4 linked regions of the Arabidopsis thaliana genome follow. The protein of the gene in region 2 interacts with the protein of the main gene of each other region in a pairwise test. Each region holds a gene or a part of one and is shown on either strand. Other genes may lie near its edges. The genes, in order: MYB3, BRX, AT3G16560 and MPK18.

Region 1 (3,907 bases), 3.4 Mb from region 2:
TGAAATTCAAAATGTAAGTGGATTAGTATGTTAAAATCAAAAAAAAATGAAGAGAAGACATGCGAATAGCCAAAAAAATAGGCAAGAACTAAAAAGCACATACAAAAAGTGACGACACCAAACCAAACATCATTTAGGTATGGTTTTAACGTCTGCATCAAAGTTGCTCTGCGTATTATCTGCTTGAAATGACTCATTCAATAGTATAATCTAATTAATAGGAACACTTCAAATAGGTGAAATTTGACATCGAATTATATATTGTCTCCACATTTTTAAGTTACATGGCTTGGAATTATTACATATTTTCAGAAACTATTTGTGACGCAAAAAAATGTGATTTCATGATTTCATCGCTTGAATTTGGTAATTTCATTAAAATTTACATTTCACTGAATTTAATTGACATACGTAAATTAAAAAATGAAAACATTAATTCTACATAGAAATTTGAAACCAAAAAAAACTCTTAAAACATATGACGTATATCATATAACAAGATTAATCACAAATAAAATGTAGTATTAAATTAATTAGTTTGCTAGATTATGAAATTATAACATTTATAAAAATTACCGTTTTTTAGCATCTGCAAGTACAACATGCCCTAATTGTTGTTTTTATAAATTTCTTTGAGCACAATCTTTTGGCTTTGCCATCAAATAATTATGCTAGTTTCTTACTTGATGTTACATAACAAATGTGAACAAAAAAAAAACACAATTGACGATCTAAATATATAAAAAGATTCCTAAAGAATTCTCGATTGACTCTCTAATGAGTTCTAACATCAGAAACCCGACAATTCCGACACGACTCATTACGAAACAACCCAATCCGACAACACAAACACACCGCATCACTCTCATGAGCTCCAAACAACTCGGAACCCCACCGTCGAGTCGACTCAGCCGAGTCAACAACACTCACTTTCCGAGTCGACTCGTACCGATAACTCGGTCCAACAGAGAGTTCCAAATTCAACACCCAATCTTCCTCGTTCCCATAATCCTTCTCCGACGTCGTTCCACTACTCTCACAATTATTAACCATACCAATCTCTTCACGCACCGGTTCCGGTTTAACCGGTCCAGAGAAATCAAGATGTATAGTCTCAACGACATCGTTTTGAAGAGACGACGGAGACACGACGGATTCGTTGATCAGACGGTGAGAGTTTGGATCAATCCCACGGCTGAGAAGCTTCCTCTTGATATGAGTGTTCCAATAGTTCTTGATCTCGTTATCTGTTCTTCCTGGTAATCTCCCAGCTATTAAAGACCATCTATAACAACAACACAAAGTTTCAGAATCTTTCACAAATATAATCATATTCTTAAAAAAGTGTGAGAGAAAGAGACTAACTTGTTACCGAGCAAGCTATGGAGCTTGATGATGAGTTCATCTTCTTCTTCAGTAAAATTGCCTCTTTTGAGATCTGGTCTTAGATAATTCATCCATCTCAATCTACAACTCTTACCACATCTTTGTAATCCTGCACAAAGTTCAATCAAAAATCAAATCTTTACCTCTCTGTAAATATAAAGAAACAGAGGATGTATGAATAAGTACCAGCGGCGCGAGGGAGAGATCGCCAGCAACCTTCACCGTGTTTACGGATGTAATCAACAAGAAGCTGATCTTCTTCTTTAGTCCAAGCTCCTTTGTTCATGTGAGCTTTCTCGCAGCATGGTGATCTTCCCATCTTTGTTGATCTCTATATGTATATATGTATCTCTCTACGTGTATTTGGAGGAAATAGTGTTTTATTTTTTTTGCAAGGAAGAGAGTTCCTGTAGGATGGTGTTTTCGTTTTGAATGTTATTTATAATAACTACCTAACATTATTTTAATACCAAAGTTAAAAATAAAAATGTATCTAACAAATGAAATGATGTGTTCGTTTTTTTGTGCCTAAAGAATATTGTAACACCAACCAGAAAACACAAATTTGATTGTAGTACACTCACAGGAGGAACGTGGGTGGAGTTTCCTAACTTTTTTTGTTTTTTGTTTTCTGAGATGTAGATCGTACGGTTTTGGTTATTGACTTTTTGGCTCTTTAGAATCATCTCATCTGCTCAAAAAAAATATCATAATCATTTTACAAATTCCACAATTCATTGCAACATGTACTGTTTTTAACCATTCTTATTGCATATAAAAAAATATAGTCACGCGTAACTTTCGTATAAAAAGATCGATTATAAAAGAGAAAATAACTAAATAACGGTTTAAGTAATCACTAATCAGTTAGTGAATAAAGTGTTTTTAACATCATCAAATTTACTTCTTAGTTTCTGTAACGATTTTGTAAACTCGTTTTAATATCAATAAATTTGTTTAGCGGAAAATTAAACCAATTTTTTTTGCATTATTGAATTAAACAATTGTTTACTGCATTATTAACAAAAAAAAGTACTTAAACCTAATTTTGGGAAAATGTTAAAAAGAACAAAAAAAAAGTAGATCTGGGAGAAAGTAGGTAGATAGATTGGGAAGATGAGTAGGTAGCTGTCTTTTTTCATCTCTCTCTTCTCCAATCACTCTCTCCACACGCTACTTCCTTCACGTACCTCCACGTGTCCTTTCTTATGATTTTATCACATTCCTCTCTCCTTTGTCTCTTCAATTATAAAAACATGAATATTATTTAGATTAGTTGGATAACTGAATTATTGGGTTTGGGCATGTGTACTTGGTCCTTCTTCTACTGTTGTGTCTCTTAAGTTTTTTTTTATATTTTATTTTCGGATTTCACATTGTAACGACGGTCCAATTAAAGAATACATTTTTAAAATGAATTTACTAGTAACTTGTAAGGTACTTAAATGGTATCAATCAACATTGGGATGATTTTTCTTGGAAATTGGAATAACGTCGCTATAACAGGCGATTAGATAAATTAGTCGCATAGAATCGTATAAATGTTAAATGTTTTTGTCTCACACGCCCCATACGTATTTTAGTCCTTTGCACTTTTGCAGAAGTTATCAGAATTCTTTTCAATATTTAAAGAGGAGTTGAATTTTACAACAGTGATGTAATTCTATCTAAAGCTTAATTTCATAAGTTTATTATAGTTCTGTTTTTCTTTCTCAATCGTAAACATTTTTTCTTATATAGAAAACCCCGTACAATCTAACTACTATTCAACGTAATTTAACTACTGTTCAATCTTCAATGTTTTGTCATAAGCTAGTAATCTATGCTTAATTAAGAAAGAAACATAAGAAGAGTCATGAGCGGATGGGCCTTTTGTTCATAGCATTGTATTGGTCATGGGCCATTACTTGCAAAGCCCAACATGGCTAACCGCAAACAAGCTTCTAATTTCATCACGCTACGCCAAATGCCAAACATTGTTGTACAACACTTCTACCTTCTGAGTCTTCCTGACTATTGGCTAACATGAACTACGACGTTCAAAGAAAGGTTCTTCGGAGGTACACTGATCGATATGGAATTGGAATCGAAGGTTCCCTATGCACAAAAGAACATGGCGAAAACACGATTCAAAAAAACATAACGTCCGAAGCGCAACTAAAACTTAATATTTCGTGTTAAAAGCCAACTAAAAGTTACATTTCCGTTTTGTAAGCAGAAAGTGTGACTATTTTATGTGTTCTTAACAATATATCATTTTTTTTTTTACTTTGTTAATATCACTTTCTCATTTCTAAACGCTTTGTAATATTCTAGCGAAAATATAATTTATTAATGATTTTTATTTTTACATGCAAATTATACGACTGAAATGTTATAGGAATAGAGACATGTTTGTATCACAAAATTAACTTATGTAGGAAAAACAAATAGTATAAGTCTATCGTTCCCCTCTCTGTTCAGGCGTCAAGCCTCCCTTGCCACATTTAGGACAACTCTTCATACCAAATCCTTGACAATC
Region 2 (5,115 bases):
AATCAGTTACCAATAATTAGAACCAAAGTCAAGATTGAGCTTGCATATAGGCTATAGCAAACATCACACGAAATATAAAATCTTGATTTGGACTAACAAATATTTCACGACAAATTAAGAAACCATATCGCAACATAAAAGAGGCGGCTCACCTTTTGAACGAACGATACGGACACAAGAGGAGCGGATAAATCCGACGACCGGGAATCATCAATGGATTGATAGTTTTCGATGTCCAAGACAACGGTTTGTGTCTGAGTAGTAATATCAGAAATCTCAGCCATTGATGGAACTATGGTGACTTTCCTCCAAGTTTATGGTTTTCTCATCTAAAAACTCAAATGGTCAACTCTACTTTGTATTCGTTATAACTTATAAGCAAATAATAAAGTTGACTTTTTTATTCTATAGTCTATACCGCATGTTGATAAATTCTTTTAGGTTCATAGTTGACTTCTTTATCTTTGTCACAAAACACACGACATGGTTTACACGATAGTTATAGACTTATAATTATATGTAAATGTAATCAGCTTTGATTAGAAATGATATTTCAAAACACTTAATTTATGTATAGATGTTAAGCTAAGATGAACAAAAAGATAAGCAAAATGTGTGTAGTTTGTGTTGTTATGTGAAGGAGATTAATTAATTAATTAAAGATTTTGGTACTCATAATATTTCGTTTGCTTAGAGGTACTGTGTTTGTATTCTCTCTCTGTTCTGCTCCCACCATGTCTTTGCATGCACTTCCCCAAACCGTTCCCGGCTGTTGATTAAACCACAAAACCATAGATTCCGGTTAGTCACGGTATGATTACCAACTTTCAAAATGTATATGATTAGCAAATGCTTAGTTTTAGACGTTTTGTTATACCTGAATCTGACTCGACGTAGCTCTCTAGTCCCATCTGATAATTGTCTGATGGTAATGTAAACACCAGGCTCGTCCTCTTCAATCCACTCAGCTTGCATTTCACTAGCATTGCTCATGGAAGGTGGATCATCTCTGGAAGAAGTTGTGGTTCTTGCTGCATCCATCGGTGGTCCTCCATGATAACTTCCTGGTCCATAGTTGCTAGAGCCGCCATAAAAGTGATGCGGGACAGATCCTGGAGGTCTGAAATTGTGTCTTGGAGTCCAGTCTTTGCTTTCTCTTGCTGAATCCATCTTTGAGTACGTTGAATCTCTCTGTGACTGAAATATAAACTTGTGTTACCCTCTCTGGCTTAAAAGACAAGATTCATATAGATCCTGTTCTGAAGAAAGACTAAGGGATCTAAGGATATATGTGTTTACCTGATCGTCGGATCTTGCAGGCGTTTGGAGAGCTTGGCGGTTAAATCTCTGTACATTGTAAAGCTCAACGATCTTGTCATAGTTCTCACCCCACCACCGTTGAGCTTGCCACTTATCAAACATCTCTCGGCTTTCAAAACAAGACACAAGTAATTGTTAGTTTTTATCTCATGTTTCAGCGTTGAATGCCATGAAGATATAGAGATTGTTTTGAGTAGTTCAAATACCTGAAACGGATCCGTTTGAGATCATTTCCTCCAGTGGGAAGAGAAGCAAATGTGATATGAACACCAGGTTCTACTTGAGCCATCCACTCTTTTGGTCCATCATCATCCAGTACAACATCACAAGACTGTGCAGAGATAGATTCTCGATCATTTCCATATATTGAAGTGAACTTTGATTCTAACCGTCCAGCTGGATGATGAGAGGAGTTTGTGAAGTCCCAAGCAGGAGTTGAACCAGCACTTCCACCCATGAAAGGGTATGGAACACCTTCAGAGGCATTGTCATAATCCGGAAATGATCTATGTCCTTTCTTCAAGGGACTACTAGAGGAACCAGTGCATGGCTTGCATTGTTTATAAGCACCAGAGAATTTCAAAGCCATATCTTTAATCTGCGTAACATATGCACCCAAAAAGACCGATTACATTCAAAAACTTTATCTTGTTTATCAAAGTAATCCATTTAAACACACAAGAATGTTGAGTATAACGGTACACAAACATTATAGGTAGTTTCAAGCCTTTTTAAGTATGACTAAGTATACTTTTTAGCCCAATGAAGTAAAAAGAGGTCTACTATGATCATTATTAAAAGAACAACAATAAAGCTATGAGATCTAACATAATTAAACATATGTATTAAAAAAAGAAACTTCATATTGTCTTCTTAGCCTGCACCACAATCATAACGGCCCACTATTTCTTTTGTTTATGTTCTTTTGATTTACTAAAATAGTTACCCCCACCCCAAAAAACCCTTTCTTTATTTCCTTGTCTAGGTAAGAATCCACTAAAGCTTATTTGAGAGAAAGGTATTTAGATCAAGCTTCACTAGCAATATTCATCAAAGTATGACCCCAATATAAGCTTTAATGATAGTCCTGATAATTCAACTGGCTACATAATTCAAGGATATGTACAATGAGGGTTTAAATTGTTTCAGTAGTTGTTTTTGACTTTCATATGTCTAGTCACATAGAGAGGAAGCAAACACTGACATGAAAACTATTAAAGAGAGATTGGTGAAAGATTCCAAAAAATGAAGTGAAGTTACCTCATTGTAAGATCTCTGTCCTAAACAACAGTAACCTCTATATACTAATGACTTCAAACTCTATTCTTTGGTAAAGAAAACGAATAATAGTCAAATATATGGACCCTTTTTAAGTCCTCTAAGATACGTTAATTGGGGTTTGTGTCTTTGTTTGTTTCACGAGCAAGGCAATTAGAGAAAAGCAATAAAATAAAGTGAAAGAAAATAAAAGCAGAAGAAGGATCAACAAAGAAAGAAGAGAGAGACCTGAATGGTTAGGCTTTTGACGGCTTCTTTAGTATTGGGAGTGGTGCCTCCACGCGCTCCATGTTCGACTTCTTCACCTCCGTCTGCTTTGGTACAAGCTATGCAAGAAAACATTTTTGGTCTCTTTTTTGAGTTGTTCTCTGCCTTTTCAGACCTATAAAACCAGAGAGTACTCTATTAAACATCATCACAAACCAAACCTCACACTACTCTACTCAAATCAATAATAATACTCTACAAAACAAAACAAAAAGTAATTAAGAACGTTAAAGTAGAGCTCACTCTCACAATCCGACATAAAACACGGGTAAAGCTTATGTAATCGTAGTACACATGTAAACATTAGTTACAAGTTAGGAACATATAGCTAGAAAAGGGTATTTGGATTTCAATTGTCGTTTTCTTATAACGCAAAACACAAACACAAAAGGACAAAGTTGTTGACATATCTCTAGTCAGGAAACAACTACTCATGTTATAACAAAAAGAAAATGTAACTTGACTGGTTAGTAGTTTAACTCATAAAGAACCAATGCTAAATATTTCAAGTACTAAACCCATTTTTTAAAAATGGAAAGAAAGAAAAACAGTTTACATTACACCATGGTCGGATATTTGTGTTACCTATTTTAAGAGCGAATAAAAAAAGATGGGTATAAATTAGTGAAGAGATCTTGATAAAGACAAAAGTGTTGAAAGAGATATTAAAACTACATGTTACACTTTTCTTTATTAAAAAAAAAAAGATGTTATAACTAGAAAAGAAAGAGAGCTTGGGGATCAGAAAATAGGACCCAGTTAAGAAATACTAATATTTTAAAAATTAATTGTGCAAATCTAAACACCTGAAAATTGTATAAACACATTATTTACAAGTAATAATATATTCTAAAGACAATCATAATAGAGACAAATGCTTCTTTATTCTACTTTAAATAGTTTTTTTTTTTTGTTAAAGAATAACTTAATACTTTTGTGTGCAGCAAAAGATCCTAAACCCATCCCTCAACTAACAAAAGTTCGAAGAATAATTACATTTTTTTTGCAGTAGCCGAAATTTATGACATTTTAAAAAAAAATCAGATTATTGTGATGACTCAAGAGAATCAAATAATATGTTCTGATTCCGCGTGTTTAACATCGATCAAGACAAATACATAAGTAAAGAAGAAAACAATTGGAAACACTAGAAAAGCAAAACAAAATTGAAAAATATAACAAGAAAATGGAATCTTGACAGTCACGTGTTAAGAAAAAGAAAAAGAGATTGGTTTCTATTTTTAGGGTTTTGAGTGATGATGGACCAATCTAAAGCGTGTCGCGACATGAAAACTAAAACTATATCCAAAGTAAAAGATAAAATCGCAAAAACAATCACGAATCACGAAAAAAACTCTGTTTTGATATCAAAAGCAAAGGCAAAAACTGATACAAAAACCATTATTATTCTCACCTCAGAAAACGACTTCTTCTTTTTTTCTTAATCATTACAATCCAAAAAATAAAATTTTGATTAGTGGGTTTTGTTTATTACTCACTCACCTTTGTGTTTCGATATCTGAGAAATGAAGCGATATGATCTGAGATTATTGAGATACTAGATAGCTAGCTTCTGCTTTATTTTCCTCTTGAAGGCTTTGGTCTATTTAGGAAGCCGGCACGAGTGGGGTTAGTTCTGAGTCTACGTCTATAAATAGACCATCAATGGCTGCAGAGAAGATTAGTGTAGTAGTGTTACAGACAGTAATTGTAATAAATGTGTTACAAAAGGACGAAAACAATTTATGATACTACAATTTTGCTTTTAATGTTTTTGAGAAAAAATTCGGCGTTTTCTCAAAAAAGTAAAAGAACAATAAATACCGGGAAACTTTTGAATGAAAATGAAAATTTATATTAATATTGAAGAATGAATACACATTTTTCGGTGAAGTTTCTGATTTGGGTTTAGTGAGAAAATTTTGGTATTAATCAGAAAAAAATGACGAATCGAATCTGTCTAAATCAAATCAATCAAGTGACAAATGTTTGCAGAAAAAGGTAACGCAAAAAAAAAAAAAAAAATCTCTGAATCTTTTTTTTTCCGGGAAAAAATAGTATTGAAAAGATCGATCGGAAAAAAACCAGTGACTAATCGTTTCTACAGAAGAACAGAAACAGAGCAACGAATCTCTCTGTTTTCTTATTTTCCCGAGAAAAATCTTCAAAAAAGAGAATTTTTATAAACTCACCTGAAATGTCTTCTTCTTCGAATCTGATTATGTAATAAACTTCACTGAGAAAATCTCC
Region 3 (5,503 bases), on a different chromosome or scaffold from region 2:
AACCTTAAAATTTGAGGTTTCATTTTTTATTCATTTTGGTCCTTACAAATATTTATGTCTTACAGATACTCTTACTAATATATTATTCTATCATATTAGTCCTTAAATTTTTATGTCTTATTTTGATGTATGGAGAGGAAGTTGTGTGGATTAGCTTGTTGACTTTTCCATCAAGTAACTTGCCAAAATTTTGTGGCATTAGTTACTTTATCTATGACAAGACCACCCTAATTATGTGTTGTGGTGACGATGAAAGTCGAACGGCTTGCATCTATATTTTTGAGGGGAGATTTGTTCAAGAAGATTCAAATTGACTGGGTTTTTGTTTTCCCGGTGTTGTTACTGTGCTTATCCTCCCAATTTTATCCCGTTCCTTTAGGTTCATATTGCAAGCCTAATAATTTTATCGGATTTTCTTGAATCTTGTTCATGTCTCTGTTTTCTTAGGTTTATTACCATTGTAAGATGATAATATATAGACTTACTATCTCAAACATTGATGATCAACACACTTTCACTTCGAACTAACCAAAATGTTTGTAACCATTGAGTCAATTTTACAAATATACGTAAGACATATAAAGTTGTGAACAATAAGGTGCTTATAGTGTGTCACATGATTAAAGATCATCGTAGGCCACCCACATTATTTCACTAGTAGTTAGCCCATTGACAAAACCGATTCAGTCTATGTTAGAACTTAAAATCCAAGGTAATAAACCAAACCAAGTAAACACCCAAAAGCCCAAAAAAATAAAAAACAGAACATATGACTCAGGCTGAGACAAACTGATGAATTCTAGGCTCGCAACTAAGACTACTACAATGATATATATATACGGACTATACATGAAATAATATTATACCAGTTCCAAAGAATTGAAAAACTGATGATCAGTTCCAAAGTCTAAAAGAAGATCAGTGAGACTAATTACAATTTTACCAATCCAACATTTGTCGCCATCATCATCAAAATCACACGAACGTAGAAGCTTTTGAGGTACGTTGATCGGTACCTAGAGTGATTACCATTATAGTCACATCGTCATGATATCTCCTTCTCCTACCAGCCGGAACATTCGTCAATTCTTCCAAGGTAAAGCCTACATCAAAGTGTTTTCTTTTGTCATATAGTAGATCATGAAGTCTGCACACATTTTGTGAAGTAAACATTAACAAAAAAGCATCTTACCAGCACGAGCAGCAGCTTTAGCTACAAGACGTTCAAGCAGAAACTTTGCTGGATCACCAGAAGGATTACTAGAAACGAAGGAATGGACGAGCCCAATCGCTTCCTCGTTGCTGAAGAAATCAAACAAACCATCGCTTGCAACTATAACAAAGTGATCTGATTCCGTTATCTTGTGAACTCTCATCGATGGTTCCACTGAAACATAAGGCGGGCTCAAAAGGTTACGAACGCGGAGGATCCCCATGAGTGCATCATTTAGTTTCTCCTGCAAGTTAATAGAGAAGAGCTACTTGATACTTTTTCTTTCAAGTATAAAACTCATAACTTAAAAGAATAATACTAATACCTTCTTCAAGTAACCAACTCCGAGAGCACGAGTAACTTTAAGCTTTCCTTTGATTTTCCCACCAATAACGATCTTAGGATCATCAAGATGCTCACTTAAGAGTCTAGCTTCTTCGACTTCGTTATCAACTGTATGATCCTCTGTGAGCTGAACAGCTTGCAGCTTCTTATTACCATTGTAGGTCGCTAGAACAGCTCTGCTATCACCAAGATTAAGGACGTATAGATCCTTCCCAACCAGGAGAGTGACCAAAACACAAGATCCAACGGATACTAAATCCGGTCTTTCTTCCATTTCTTGCTCAACCATCCTTAGGAAATCGGTTTCCGCCTGAAAAAGCGCACGGTTCAAGCAATCTAGTACTCCTTGCCTGAACAAATCAGTGGAAGAGTAATCTACATTACTTATATTTGATAACAATTCCAACTTTTCGCCATCATCATCGGACTTTGTTTGCTTCATTTGACGATCAAGCAACTGAAGATGAAACACAATGGACTCATATAAAGTACATGCCAAGAAATCAGCAGCATCTCTTCCGTTGAATCCATCATAGATAGCGCAAAACAACCAACCATTCTCCTCAGAGCAAACAGCTTGAACTCTATCTTCCCCTGCAGCACCACCCGCAACTTGAACTTCCATAGCAGAGAGAAGAAACCCTTCATTAACAGAAGAAGGAGAACTCATTGACGTCAAGTAACAAGATTCAGGCTCAGGAGGACTCGGACTAGTAGACGAGCTGCAGCTTAGACTCACCATACTTCCATGGAGAGAAGGAGAGAGTATATCAAGCTTCGAAAGCGCAGGCGAAGACGGAACTTTCCTGAAAGATTTCGGAGAATCCAGAGACGGCAATATCTCAGAACCAATGACTCCATTGCAGATATTAGTATTGGCTAAAGTGGGGTTTCCACTTAAAGCAGCTCCTGATAAACAAGAGAAACTGCTAGTCTTTTGTAGCCTAAACCCACCAAGAACCTCACGACCATCAGCAATTTTATCTTCAGGGATTCCTATCTTCTTATTATTGCATTGATAACCAAAACTTATCTCAATCTCACCATACGGATCAGTCCCTTCCTGCATTTTTTTTCTTCACTTTCTTGCAATGTTCTGAAACAACAAAAATCCACAACAAAACCATAAAGTTTAGTCCTTTTTTTAACTTGAACAATCCTAATGAAATCTTAAGACTAATACAAAAACCTCACACTTCAAAAAAGTTAGCTGCTTTAATGACCTTAGAGACAAAATACGTGGTGAGAGTCTAAGCACATATCGAAAGTGAAGATAGATGGGGCCAAGGTAACGAACAGTTACATAAGTTAAACGTGAGAGTTAAGAAAAAAATGATATTTTTCATAGGAGGCCATTAAATGCAGACCACAGAAGTTGTTGGGAAATGTTTCAGATAGAATGTTTATACAGAGATAAACTAACTAAAAACCCAGAAAACACAGAGAAACTTATAGATTTGGTATCATCAAAGTATTCACCGTGACATGTGTTCATATCTATATGGATTACAACAATATATGGATATATCAAAAATTCCATTGATAAGATAAATCAAAACTCGCAAACCAAATTGAAAAGATTAAATAAAACAGATTATCGGAACGAGACATTGGGGATGTTATTGATGATGAGAGAAATGGGTTTACCTTAAACGTATACGGGGATGGAGAAAACCAAAGAGAATCGAAGATTCGTAGAACTGAGAAGAAGCGAAGCGAATTTAGAGAAAAAAGAACAAATCAGAGGAGACGACGACGACGAATAAAAATGAGTGAGAGAAAGTGAAATTGGATGGAGGAGAAGAGTTAACGAGTGAATGTTTTTTGTTTGCTAATTTTGGTAGTGTTTATTATATAATCGAAAGCCCTCTCCTTTATAATGTTTTTTCACACTTTTCTTCTCTCTGTCTTTTTCGTTTTTGATTCGTTGCTTTTTCAGCTTCTTCTTTTTTTGTACATCTTTTAAATTTTTTACCAAAAACAATGATAATGCTTAGTTTTTTTATTAGTATCTTGGTTGAAACTACAGAGGTCAATTTGGGTATTCTGAAATTTTCTTGCTAAGATACTTTCAGATATTTTTGGTAGAAAAATTAGAATCTTTTGTTTTGGGTGGTGTTGCATAAGTAGAAGAAAAAATGTCTATCTACAGAGCAAAAATTCATAACTCGTCAGAAAGAAATGATCAACAAGATATTTAATTAAACGAGTAAATAGAAAAATCTATCGACGAAAGTGAAAAACGAAGATAGGGTCAACAATTCAAGGCAATAAGTGTGTGTAGTTGACATTTTATCCTGATGATGTCATCCTCAGATCTCTACCGGTAATGTTATATTTTATTCATCTCTAGCTCTATTATTTTCTTGGACTGCTCAAAGAACCAATATAATACGATTATAATTTGGCAAGAAGGGCTTACAAGGAACATTAAATTTACCCATATCTTCACTATGAATCTTTTTCAGAAATAATATGATTTATTTGTGATAGATGTAATCGTGTAATATCTTCTGATCGAATTCAGAGTGGTAATTTACTATGCAATTTATTTTTTACGGACAACAGGATAAAATAACCCAAAAATACATGGTGACGTTTTACAAAATCTGATCTTTTGAGTACTAGGCTAGTACTAGATGTCGACGTAGCGTACCATCATAGTTGCCGCAAACAGAGACGTGAGGAAGTAAATTAATAAGTAGATACAAATAAATAATTTAAGCTGTAAGCAAAAAATCGAGAATGTTTAAGAGTTAGGTTGCATGACGTTAAAGAAGGGAGCAGATCTAACATTTTGCATCTCTCACCATATATTATAGAGTTTAATAATCGAAAGTTGTTAAATCATATCAAGAAGCAACACGAAAAGTATTAAACAATAGCTAAAGACGCAATGAAAAACGTCTATAGTTTTGTACCATTTTTTTTTATCTCGAATATTGACTTGGTGAATTGAGCTAATAATCTAGCTTATAGCTTTCACACCTGAAAAAATCAATTTCGATTTTTTGCATATTCAGAAGGTCCCATAAACCGTGACCGGTACAGCCTTAACCGGTGTTATTCATCAAAAACTCACCGATTGATTCGGTTTGGAAAAACAAAATTTACGTTTTTAAAACCGTTGATCGCATACATGAATGTTTTTGCCTACCTAAGGTTAATTAGTAAGTATACTAAGTAAATCAAACCGATGCATGAATAAAAATCTAGGACCAAATGACCGGTACGATTCTACAATACCAAGAGTCAATATATTAATACTAATTAAGAGGCTGAGTGGAAGAAAATATCACATCAATATCATATATCATATACGACTTATCAATAATAGAGAGAGTCGTTTAAGAGATTGATAAATACCCACAAATACTGATTTGTGGCTGTTGAGGCACAGGAGAAGCTGCTTGCTGTTGAAGCCAACTGATGAAAACAGTCGTCCTCACTATCATTCCCTTCCTGAAAATGACATTTGATGACAATTCTATAATTTCCATTTAGCTTACGTACCGGTTTTTGGCAGTTTACAATGAATAGGATAGATCTCGGTTTGTCTTTATCACCGCGATTTTTCAATAATCATTACACAATTTCTGCAAGCTGTTGTGTTATGTGTATCTAATGAAAGCTCCTAAGTCTCTTAAATCACATAACCTGGGATTATTTTCTTTGCGGACATCTTATCGAGACAGTACTATGTATAGACGAGGGACTAATTATAACCAAGGATTGTTCAGGGACTGACAGTAAAAACTACGGCGGTTTAAGACTAAGAACTAATGGGACTACTTATATATATCGTTATGAAATAACGGTATCAACACGAAGTGAGTGATGAGGATTACCTTGACTTATTGTATATCTACCGTATAGAAACTGGAACCCATAAGAGTTTCAAGATGCAATGGTGTAGAAAACTTTCGTCATTCCTTTCTTTGTTCT
Region 4 (6,309 bases), 8.5 Mb from region 2:
TGTGAGTCTATTTATTAGCTCTCTACTAAATTAGGACATTTCAGATCAATTAAAATAGAATGAAATTTTGATAATTAATTAAGTATGTGTATAAAGAAAGAAATAAATATATTGCATCGTTTTCCAAATTATAGTGATTGACGAATAAAATATGATTTTCCTTATTTTAGAAGGTTAATCGTGGTATTTAATTAAAACACCTGGTTTATTTATGATATAACGTAGACATGTCAGTTCAAATATTTAATTAGTTGATTACAAAGATAAGTACATGTCAACCTAAAATTTAATATCATCATTTCAACCCAAAAAAAACCTGAGATTATATATAACGGATCATTCAATGCAAGATGCTTAATGCCACCGTCACGTAACGAAATAATTGATTTGCTTCCTTTTTGGTTAATAAATATTAAATAGATCAAATGTGTACACTTTCTCATGACTTGTTAAATTGAGAAAGTGATATTCGTTATGATTAATGGACGCCTAATATTACCTTTAATGGGCTAAACTCAGGCCTACAAACTTGGCGGGTAAATTATAAACATTTCAACGGCGTCAAAATTTCGAAGTTAAGGCGAATTTCATTGTTAACCATGATGAGTCTTGAGGTCAAGAGCATTCCTTTTTTTCATTGGCAAGTTTTTTTTTTTCTTTTTGTAACCATTGAATAAAATTGACTAATTATATAATCTGAGAAAGAGTGGTTTACAGAAGAAAAATCTAAGGACCAATGTTTTATTTTGTTACTTCCACATTCTTCGGCATAATGTTGTCTATATTAACCAATCAAGACCATATTTTCCAATAACCAAAGAGATTCCTTTTTTTGTTGAAGAACAATAAAGACTAATGGGACCGATTAAGAAGTTTAAGAAGTATATAATCACCACGATATTCTTCTCTACGGTGAACTACGCTTATGGCAAATTCAAAGATTATGGAGCCAACAAGATAACCGAAACAATAACCGGGACTGACCCGCAATCAGACTAATCCAAGGCGATCTTGTTCTGGAGAGTTACAACTAAATAAAAGTCTTTCTTATATCATTGCAACGTAGTTCATATCAGAGCCTGGACTGAATAATACTTACATAAAAACTAGAGAATCACCTGGTGGAGGAAGATGTGGTGGTTAAAGATCTGTCTGAAGTGTTGTCTATGATGCTGCGCTGTAACTAATTGTGCCTATGTTCCGGTGTGCTGCTACTGCAACCGCTGCAGCTCCTGCTGGACCAAACTGTGATTGTGCCTGCAACAGCTTAGCATCAATGGCCATATGTGTGTTGTTGTTTAATTGATCTGTCTTCGGGAGCTGTGGTTGAAAGTAAGGGTTTGGGTGGTTCATAGTCTCAACGTCTGCTTGGTTAGTTGTAGCAGCTGGTGGCTCAGTGGGACTGAATTGGTGGACAGGATTTTGTGGCTTTGGTGGAAAAGACGAAGCTTCTATGTTGCGGTTCTCCGGGTTTGTCATGGTGTTTGGTCGGAAGTAGCAATGAGGAGATGAAACCGCGCTTCTGAAATAAGCTTCTTTGAGGTTCCTGCCATTCTCATAAGATACAGATGATTCCACAACACGACCTGGTCTACCTGTAAAACATAGGGTGAAAGTTAGTTGAAGTTTCTAACTTTAGGAAATAATATTTGGAGATATGATTGAGACCTGATGGTGGAACTCTTGGTGGAGGTCCGATGGATTTAGTAGGATACGCGGAAGTTGATGGATGTCCTGCAGAAGAAGCTCCATTTTTTGAAGGCTCGAAAGAAACACGTCTACTATCTGTTGCACCCAAGTTGGGTTGCGAGGTGGAATGGACTACAGTTGAGTGAACCGTAGACCTGTGGAAAACAATCATATCTATTAGAATTAGAAGAGTAGAGAACATATGAAAGTTTTTAGAATTAGAAGAGTAGAGAACATATGAAAGTTTGCTTGAGGCCTTCGACCATATGCTTCACAAATGCTAAGCAGTAGCAGAAGAAAGAACAAAAGAATAAGCATATTCCCTACAGTCGACTTGTATATAAAGAATGAGAAAACATACCGCGGTAGTGATGCGTGTTTCCTCTCGAGAGGTATGACCGGCCCATTTCTACTGCTATTTTCCTCTAAGTAAGTGAACTGCTGTCTAAGATGTCCAATGGCGCTGCAAGTGAAAAAGTAAAAACATGAATAAAAAGCCAGGCAGAGGTACGCGATTGGACATAAATTCAACGGGAGAAAGAAACAAGAAATGTTTCATTTGGTAAATAATAATAAAAGGTAGGAAGAAATTCAAACCTAGGATATACAAAATTAGACCCCTCAGATCCGCTCATATAGTCCTTGAGCAACTGAGGATGGTACTCCAGTATTTCTCTGTATATTAGTTCTCTAATGTCGTCCTTTGTCAACCTTCGCCTCTCAAATTCAAACTCCATTTTCGAGATTTGCTGACTTGAAGGTTCTCTTTCAATCTTAGAAAGACCCTTGAAGTAAGGATCAGCTAATGCCTATCGAAAAACAAAAAGATAGCAAAGTAAGCAGAGAGATACACACAAGACGCAAGGCAGCTTTACAAAGAGGACCGAAGAAGAATCTAATTACAAAGTGAAAAAGACAGAAAAGAGACCTCTGCAGGAGTCGGTCGATCCTTTGGATCGAAAGCCAACAGCCTCTGCAAAAGACGGAGTGCTAATGGATCTGCTTTGGAAAATTTTTGCGAGAAGGTGACAGGATTTTTCTTCCTCATTTCAGTCAAGTATTTTCTAGCTTTATCATTACGAACCTGCATCAGAGAAATAAATGTTTAGCTATACAGTTCAATATATATACGTACTCCAGAAATTAATGTGAAGAAGAAAAACGGATCATACTCCAGAAATTGTTTCTGATTTTGGTGTGCCAAGAAGATCAGTAATCAACTCCAACTGATGGACAACACTTTTTCCCGGAAACAATGGCTTCCCTGTTAGTACCTCTGCAAAGATGCAGCCAATGCTCCAAACGTCGATAGCTGGAGTGTACTGCAGAATAATTTTGACTGTAAATCAGATTATGATGAAAAAACAAAATCCATGAATATGAAGTTGCAGATGCAAAAGAAACCACTCAATGAACATAACCTGATACAAGGTTACCTGATTCATAGATTTTCAACTTCGGGGAGAGTTCAAGTCATCCCTGAACAAGAATTATTTTAATATCCCACTGGGGCACAACTCTATACTTATACAAGTAACATCAAATATCAGCTATTAACACTAATCTGCATATATTCTACACTAAAGAAGACTAATCTGTTCATAAGACCTAAGCATAGCCAATTAGAATGCATAGAAGAAATCCACAGTAACACCTACCTTCGAAAAGAATGATCCACAGAGCTCAGGTGCTCTATACCATCTTGTGGCAACATAGTCCTGCATTGCGATTAAATGAGTCAGAGAGAAAAATCAAACACACAAATTAACGGCTAACAAACAAAAGGTCTCCTCCTCGAGGCTACTAACCGTCCAAAAGACTGTCGTAGGAGTATCATTAAACGCTACTCTAGCCAATCCAAAGTCACAAACTTTCAACTTGCAATTTGCGTTTGCAAGTATATTCTTTGGCTTAAGATCACGGTGATAAACATTAGCTGCATGAACAAAAGGATAACAGTAAGTTACAACCAGAAAAAATACAAAACATGCTGCCAAGATTCACAGGTCTGAAACAATGAAACGAATCACACCTGTATGCATGAACTTTAAAGCACGAAGCATCTGATAAAGGAAAAACTGGTGGTGTTCACGAGTCAAATCATCATTAGCTTTAATAACTTGATGAAGATCTGATTCCATGAGCTCAAACACAACATAGATATCTTTAAACTCTCTCTTAGAAGGAGGCAGCATAATGCTTTTGATCTCCACAATATCAGGATGCCGTAAAAGCCGAAGAAGCTTCACTTCACGGAGAATACGAAGCGCATCAGAAATATGTTCAAAGACATCATTAATCTTCTTAATAGCAACTTTCTCTCCAGTATGTGTATCAATAGCTGCACACACAACTCCATAGCTTCCTTTACCAATAACTTCCAGAATCCTATATCTGTTTGCATCACCATACTCTGTGAAAAACTCCATCTCTTTCGTGCCCTAGTGAATCACAAAAGTAGACAAAACACAAACTTTATCCACACATCTTATTTATGCTCATGCAACAAAACCAAACCTAATTGCAATTGAAAAAGGAAAGATTTTATTTTTTTTGTCTTTAAATTTGTAAAAGGATAAGACTTTATCCTCTGTTTCCCACATTTAGAATCAAAGCATGATTGAGAGAGATAGAGAGCAAGAAGCGAACCTTCTTCACTTGATTTTGTTGCATCTTCTTCTTCAAAATTATCAAAAATCTGGATCGGCTTTTCGAAAAGTAAAAAAAAAAAAAAAACCTAGATTGCTAAGAATCCGAAAACTAGAAGAACTCAAAATCAAGCCCAGTCTGTGAAGAAGACGATACAGAGAAGAGCAAAACCTAGATCCAGCGATCGAAGAAGAAGAAGACGAGAGAGGATTTTAAAAATACCGAATTTGAGATATTTTTTCTAAATTTGAATAAAAATAATTTCTAATTCTAGCAATTTCTCGTGGTACTTATTGCGTACGGGTGTGACAAATCCCAGATAGTGGCAGTTTCGTAGTTTTAGACAACATTTGAGGGTAAAGTAAATATTGGTTTTCTCCCACTGTGGTCTGTGGACGACCTTTTTGGAAAATGACCCAATGGTTTAGACACCTGTTGCTGGACTTGGACCGTTTTATTTTTCTTAAATTCCGATTTTGACCCCTATCTTAATTTTGTTTTGATTCTAACCATTCTTTTTGATAAGTGGTCAATTTAACCCCCACGTGATAGTATTTCTCGTACCACTGAAAGGAATATTATTAACATTATCTCAATTTTGCTTATTATATTCCTTGATTTAAATTTTTAAGATTGAAAAATCTATATACAATTGACTAATTCATATGTAAATAAATATTGTTGAAGGATATTTGTCTTAGATTTTAATTTATTTTGGTAAAGACGATACACGATTAATATATTAGGATAAAATACCATCTTTGATGAACATTTATTCCATGTAAATCAACTAACCTTGAGAAAAAGACCTTCCAAGTGTCAAGTTGTTTGCTTGATACTATGGGATGATAAAAACAAAATCAAAAGAAAAAAAAAAACTGCCATCCTCATTGGTATATGACTTAGTATTTGATAGAAAATAAAATAAAATAAATAGATTAATAATTTTGCAATTCGTGTGAAACTAATATTCACATGTCAATTTACACAATTTGGCTTTTGTATTTATTGAAAAGACCAACATATTTAGTGTCTGGCTCATATTAAAAGTTTATCACAATAGGGGCAAATCCACAAAAAGGTGAAGATTATGATAATATTATAACTGATCTTGATTAAAACAAATCCAACATCTTATTATTCATTTGTATCTGAGGCATTCAAATCCAAAGTTGGTTCATTATCTAAAGTACAAAATATCATAATTTCAAATTATCATACTCCATATAATTTCACACTATACGACGATGTAGGTGGTGCATGTGTCAATTTATTGTCAATATTTTAAGGCGTTATAACTTATAACTAAAGTTGATCCTTTTTGCATATTTCATTGCTTTTCATTTTCTTCTACTTTCGGTTTTAAAATCATAATTTTACTCTCTTTTGACTAAGTGCGCATTTTAAAATAATTATCGGCCAAAGATAAATATAAATGATGGTTGACTGGTTCTATCTATTTAGACCAGGCTCTGCATAATATATATAACCAGCATATCTATTTTTAAAATAGTTTTAATGGTTTTTCAAAATGATATATATAATATTTTGAATTGCAAGTTTAATAATTCGAAGATATATATATATATATATATAATCATGAGTCAGAATTCAACAGAGTGGACACAATATTACCATTCATCACATGAATCATGCTTTTCGTGTATGTATGTTTTAGAGTTTTGACTGGAGGAGCCAAAATATCTCCACCAAGCAGATTTATTTTGTTTGTTTATTTATTTGAGTTACATCTTATTAAAATTCCATGAACCATATATAATGATAGAAGAAAAAAGGGATCACCCATAAATAATGATAATTTGTGCACAACTATATATTATTGTTTTCTTAACTTTTGGTTGCCAACAACTCTATATTATTAGTGCAAATATAATAATGTTGATGAATAAAAGACAATGCATCCTAATAATAAACCAAAATATAATGTGTAAATGTGGTCCAGTGAGAGAA

What was found.
Region 1: the proteins of BRX (region 2) and MYB3 interact in binary tests that used the Arabidopsis thaliana proteins (3 or more experiments, as listed by UniProt).
Region 3: the proteins of BRX (region 2) and AT3G16560 interact in binary tests that used the Arabidopsis thaliana proteins (3 or more experiments, as listed by UniProt).
Region 4: the proteins of BRX (region 2) and MPK18 interact in binary tests that used the Arabidopsis thaliana proteins (3 or more experiments, as listed by UniProt).

What each region holds. Positions count from the first base shown.
Region 1 is NC_003070.9:8,004,087-8,007,993, reverse strand, and holds MYB3 (myb domain protein 3), read right to left. Parts: upstream 1,931-3,907; 5' UTR 1,706-1,930; coding exon 1,573-1,705; intron 1,572-1,572; exon of another isoform or gene 1,496-1,571; coding exon 1,366-1,495; exon of another isoform or gene 1,333-1,365; coding exon of another isoform or gene 1,286-1,332; coding exon 775-1,285; 3' UTR 534-774; downstream 1-533. Other genes in the region: AT1G22630 (SSUH2-like protein), read right to left, coding at 3,827-3,907.
Region 2 is NC_003070.9:11,445,629-11,450,743, reverse strand, and holds BRX (DZC (Disease resistance/zinc finger/chromosome condensation-like region) domain containing protein), read right to left. Parts: upstream 3,458-5,115; 5' UTR 3,424-3,457; coding exon 3,422-3,423; intron 2,981-3,421; coding exon 2,827-2,980; intron 1,919-2,826; coding exon 1,527-1,918; intron 1,430-1,526; coding exon 1,300-1,429; intron 1,198-1,299; coding exon 878-1,197; intron 770-877; coding exon 691-769; 3' UTR 552-690; downstream 1-551. Other genes in the region: NIP3;1 (NOD26-like intrinsic protein 3;1), read right to left, coding at 153-284. UniProt on the Arabidopsis thaliana protein: Acts as a regulator of cell proliferation and elongation in the root and shoot. Regulates roots architecture and primary root protophloem differentiation.
Region 3 is NC_003074.8:5,635,076-5,640,578, forward strand, and holds AT3G16560 (Protein phosphatase 2C family protein), read right to left. Parts: upstream 3,724-5,503; 5' UTR 3,206-3,723; intron 3,033-3,205; exon of another isoform or gene 2,655-3,032; 5' UTR 2,628-2,654; coding exon 1,539-2,627; intron 1,458-1,538; coding exon 1,193-1,457; coding exon of another isoform or gene 1,173-1,192; exon of another isoform or gene 1,104-1,172; coding exon 976-1,103; 3' UTR 521-975; downstream 1-520. Other genes in the region: AT3G16565 (threonyl and alanyl tRNA synthetase second additional domain-containing protein), read right to left, coding at 5,456-5,503.
Region 4 is NC_003070.9:19,969,797-19,976,105, forward strand, and holds MPK18 (mitogen-activated protein kinase 18), read right to left. Parts: upstream 4,598-6,309; 5' UTR 4,363-4,597; coding exon 4,339-4,362; intron 4,131-4,338; coding exon 3,722-4,130; intron 3,626-3,721; coding exon 3,498-3,625; intron 3,408-3,497; coding exon 3,348-3,407; intron 3,012-3,347; coding exon 2,862-3,011; intron 2,774-2,861; coding exon 2,618-2,773; intron 2,499-2,617; coding exon 2,287-2,498; intron 2,153-2,286; coding exon 2,051-2,152; intron 1,845-2,050; coding exon 1,669-1,844; intron 1,596-1,668; coding exon 1,165-1,595; 3' UTR 538-1,164; downstream 1-537. UniProt on the Arabidopsis thaliana protein: Mitogen-activated protein kinase (MAPK) that is specifically regulated by PHS1 and MAPKKK20 and mediates signaling that regulates cortical microtubule functions, maybe through regulation of microtubule dynamic instability.